Linked DNA regions of Kluyveromyces lactis. The protein of the gene in region 1 binds, or shares a complex with, the protein of each later gene. Links are inferred from orthologs where the notes say so. Each region holds a gene or a part of one and is shown on either strand. Other genes may lie near its edges.

What was found. Proteins that work in one complex are often made in the same cells at the same time.
Region 2: the proteins of CYTB (region 1) and QCR7 are in contact, whole or in part, in a cryo-EM structure (PDB 8Q1B), measured with the Schizosaccharomyces pombe proteins. The link is inferred for Kluyveromyces lactis from reciprocal best matches to the Schizosaccharomyces pombe genes cob and qcr7. Residues at the interface, in YP_011104932.1 of Schizosaccharomyces pombe: Ser24, Asn25, Lys107, Tyr108, Pro109, Leu210, Val212, Thr213, Ala214, Met216, Asp217, Phe310, Ala312, Ile313, Arg314, Ser317, Phe318, Asn319, Pro320, Phe321, Ile372, Gly374, Asn375, Thr376, Leu377, Ile378, Asp379, Leu380, Asn381, Leu382; in NP_588364.1 of Schizosaccharomyces pombe: Lys2, Pro3, Val4, Ser5, Leu6, Ala7, Ile10, Gln11, Thr17, Leu20, Leu21, Ile23, Ser24, Asn25, Tyr27, Val28, Leu30, Ser31, Gly32, Tyr33, Arg34, Tyr36, Tyr40, Asp42, Leu43, Met44, Leu45, Glu46, Glu47, Asn48.

Annotation. Positions count from the first base shown.
Region 1 is NC_006077.1:20,139-23,027, forward strand, and holds CYTB (apocytochrome b), read right to left. Parts: upstream 1,690-2,889; coding exon 529-1,689; downstream 1-528.
Region 2 is NC_006039.1:60,685-62,926, reverse strand, and holds QCR7 (ubiquinol--cytochrome-c reductase subunit 7), read left to right. Parts: upstream 1-1,357; coding exon 1,358-1,741; downstream 1,742-2,242. Other genes in the region: KLLA0_C00847g (uncharacterized protein), read left to right, coding at 1-771.

The DNA.
Region 1 (2,889 bases):
TATTAAATAAAAAAAAGAATATTGAAATAATTTTATTATTAATTACTATTTAACATTTTTAAAATTAAAATATTTTCCCCGCGGACTCGTCCCCGGGATACCCCGGGGACGAGCCGCGGGGTTTATATTATTTTCATAATTAAATAATACTTTTTTTAATTTTAAACTATTACTCTTCCCCACGCGGCTCATCCAACCCTTTATGAGGGTTGGATGATGCCGCATTTGCGGGGCTTCTAAATCTAAATATTCAAATAATAAATCCCCCGCGGTCTCATCCTCTGGGATTACCAGAGGATGAGCCGCGGGGTTAATTATGTTTTGATTTTACTTCATTATAACATTTATAATATTCTTCCCCACGCGGTACACCCAACCCTTTATAAGGGTTGGGTGATGCCGCATTTGTGGGGCTTATTTTGATTTAAATTTAATCATTATTAATATTTTGAGAATAATATCTTTTTTGATTATTATTAAAAATAGATAAAAAAGAATATTGATTAGTTAAATTATTACCTTTAATAATTACTTTGCATTTTTTCTACCTACATAGAATAATACATTTTCAATTGTTGATACAACTGGTACAATAACTAAGAAGTATGCAAAATAAATTACAGTAGCAATTTGTCCCATTACAACAAAAGGAGGCTCTACATGACATTCTCCTAAGTGGCCTAATAATACAAAGTTAGCAATAAATAAGAAGAAGAAGAATTTAGAGAATACTTTAAATGCGTTACCTCTAATAACACTTCTATCTGTAATAGGTAATACTAATAAAATTAAAATAGCACCAAACATAGCTAATACTCCTAATAATTTATCAGGTACTGATCTTAAAATTGCATAGAATGGTAATAAATATCATTCTGGTACAATAGATGCAGGTGTAACTAATGGATTACCAGGAATATAGTTATCTGGATGTCCCATTGTATTAGGTGAGAAGAATACAAATAATGAGAAGAAGAATAAGAATACAAATACAGTAATTAAATCTTTAAAAATAAAGTAACCATGCATTGGTAATCTATCTAAATTACCTGTAACACCTAAAGGATTTGATGAACCATGTGTATGTAATGCCATAAAATGCATAATTACAAATGCAGCAATAATAAATGGTACTAAATAATGGAAAGCGAAGAATCTTTGAATAGTAGGATTAGAAACTGAGAATCCACCTCATAATCATGATACAATATCATTACCAATAAATGGAATAGCTGAGAATAAATTAGTAATAACTGTAGCACCTCAATGACTCATTTGTCCATATACACAACAGTATCCTAAGAAAGCAGCAGCCATTGTTAATACAAAAATAATAACACCAACATTTCATACTAATGTTCTAGGAGCTCTATATGAACCATAATATAAACCTTTACCAATATGAATATACATACAAATAAAGAAGAATGATGCACCATTAGCATGAGCATATCTAATAAATCATCCTCCTTGAACATCTCTCATAATATGTTCAACAGCTGAGAATGCTAATTCAATATTAGATGAATAATGCATAGCTAAAAAAATACCTGTACAAATTTGAATTACTAAACATAATCCTAATAATGATCCTAAATTTCATCAATAATTAATTGATGAAGGTTGTGGTGAATCAATCATATAACTATTTAATAAATTTAAATAAATATTAGATTTTCTAAATGACATATTTTATTTGAATTATTATATTTTTAAATATATATATAAATATAATATATATTAAATATATAATATAAATATTATATATTCCCCACGACGAACGTCGTGGAGGAGCCGCGGGGCCCTTATATAAATATGACCCCCGCGGATCACCCGACCCTTTATGAGGGTCGGGTGATGCCACGGGAGAAAGGGATAAATATATAATTATAATAATATAATTATGTATAATTTATATATATTATTTATATGAATATCCCCGCGAAATTATTTATAATTTCGCGGGAGATAAATAAATATTTTATAAATATAATATTATTGTATTATATATATAATAATATATATATAATAATTATTATAATAATATAATAAATATATTATTATCAAGTAATTTGATACATATATAATATATATGTATATTGATTATTATTTTATAATTATATATTACTTCTAATATATCCCACGGATATACTTGGTAATATATCCAGCCCCCGCGACATGACCCTTTATGAGGGTCATGTCGCGGGGGAGAAGGGATTATAAAATATATAACCTTAATCGGAATTGAACCGATATTTTCAACATGAAGAGATGATGTCGTAACCATTAGACGATAAGGTCTGTTATATTAGAGATTCGAACTCCAAACCTTTCGATTACAAAACGAACGCTCTACCAATTGAGCTAATATAACTACTATTAACTTATATATAGATTCCCCCCGCGGCCTCACCCAACCGTAGGGTTGGGTGTGCCGCGGGGGGTAAGTTAATTAAAACTATCTCGCTAAATTATCCCTATTTAAGGGAACTAATTTATTATTTTATATATATAGAATATATAAAAATATATATATATATATTATGAAAATATATGCCTAAAAGGCGAATTGTAATTTCTTCCCCGGGGCTCACAACCTAGGTTGTGAGCCGCGGGGTAATCATTATTTATTAATTTTATTATATAATATATTAATATATAATATACAAAAATATATATATATATATAATCCTCGTATTTCAACCCATAAGGAATTGGGAGATTATATAATATGTAATAAAAGGGTATATATAATAATAGAATACCCCGCCATATTGCCAATATTGGCAATATGGCGGGATTATGTAAATATATAAACTCCCGCCATTAGTCGTATGACTAATGGCGAAATACTAATTTATTATTATTTTTATATAAATAATATTATTA
Region 2 (2,242 bases), on another chromosome or scaffold:
GAACCTGAACCTGAATTAACAATTCTCGATGATTGTGCCGGTGATTATAAGTTATTACTGAACAAATACCCAGTTGCCGCAAACCATTTGATACTAGTAACGAAAAAGTACTTGTTGCAGACAGCTCCTTTAAGTCCCAAAGATTTGTTAACTACTTATAAATTATTGCAAGAATTAGATGACGAAGATGAGATGTTGAGACATTTGGCCTTCTATAACTGTGGCCCAAACAGTGGTTCTTCTCAGGATCACAAGCATCTTCAAATCCTTCCATTACCTTATAAATTCGTTCCTTACCAGGATAAGTTATGTAGTGGTAAAGAACATTTCATTCCGAACGCTAAGACTGAACCTTTACAAGATGCAAAAATCCCATTTGCACACTACGCCGTTCCATTACCTGAGGATCCTGAAAAAGTGGATGAAGATCTACTAGCAATGACATTTGTATCATTGTTGCAGAGAACTTTATCTATGTTCCAGGATTGGGAGGGAAGTAACGCAGAAAAATCAAATGACGATGAGGCCAGTATTCCGGCATATAACGTGCTGATGACAAAAGAATGGCTATGTTTGGTGCCTAGATCGAAGGCATTTGCAGAAACTCCTAGTATTGGCTTCAATGCTACTGGATACGCGGGTTTAGTGTTGGTAAAGTGGGATGAGACTTTGAAAGTCCTCAATGAAAACCCATCGGCTGTGACCAAATTGCTATTAGAGTGTTCCTTCCCTAGCACTGCAGGCGCTAAACCAACAGAATATCACTATTGAATAAGCTTTAGTGTGAAAAATAAGTCTATGGGCTGCCCCCAGGTGGCTAACACACTTTCTTATGTTTATGATGTGAATTCATGGTTCACTGGTAAAATTGCTCGATGGTTGATTTCCAAAGCGGACTGGCTACTAAACAATCACGTATAGTAAATAATTGTGCAATGCAATACCATCAATAGATTTCGACTAGTTACGGGCTATCATGAAGGCAACTCACCAGTGAAGTTCCAGAACAGACGATGGGCGTCCGCACTTCGGTTCAGTAGTGATCACGTGATATTTGACCAATGAATTTCGATAATTTAAAATATATTATGTGGTGTACCTGTTTCTTAGTCAGTACTAACCAGTTCTTCGATTTTTTTGAGTTTTTCGGTTTTAACGCTTAATACATAATATTAGCTCGATAGAAACAATTTTTTGCAGATTATCAAAACTTTTCATTCAATACATTACCACTAAACATTGGTAACATTTTGTCAAAGTTCCATTTACTTTACGAAGCTTTCCGATTTGTTTCAGAGCTTCTGACTTATTCTTAGAAGGCCGAACGCTCAAGTAACAACCACGTTTCACATTACAAATGCCACAAACATTTACTTCTATTGCTAAGATCGGTGACTACATTTTAAGAACCCCAGCTCTTGCTAAAGTTGTCGTTCCAATCGCTCACCAGTTCATCAACTTGTCTGGTTACAGAAAGATGGGTTTGAGATTCGATGACTTGATTGAAGAAGAGAACGAGCTTGCCCAAACTGCTTTGAGAAGACTACCAGCCGATGAATCCTACGCTAGAATTTACAGAATCATCAATGCCCACCAACTATCTTTGTCCCACCATTTGTTGCCAAAAGATAAGTGGACCAAACCAGAAGATGACATTCCATACTTGACTCCTTATTTGTTGGAAGCTGAAGCCTTTGTTAAGGAAAAGGAAGAATTGGACAACTTGGAAGTTGCCAAATAATCTCATCCTTGACTGAATTATTCAAAATATCATTCAAAAAAATTACTCATGACCCTCTGACGAAGAGAAAGAAGAAGGAAACACATTACATTATGATCGCAAAAGATTTCAAATTCAATATATCCGTTACTTGCATAGCCAGCTAACGCAGACGCTATTATCGTTATCATATTTTCTTCTAGGAATGAAACAACTTATTTATCTCTAAACTTTGTGAATATCAACCTCTGACAAATATATCTTTATTATTCTAACTTATGTATATATATCTATATATACCAATCTGATTTACATCATTCATTTTTGATACTTTCATTTAAAATTGGTTTTACCAAAGTATTGGCATCGTTACTATTAATTATGTTCTGGTATTGATGGTATTATGTAATTTCTCATAGTAATTAAGCGTTTGGATATATTGATATTTGCTGGAAAAGAAAATATAATGATTGTGGTATAATGTTACATGTGAGGAAAAGGAATTGTCCTTTTGCAATACTA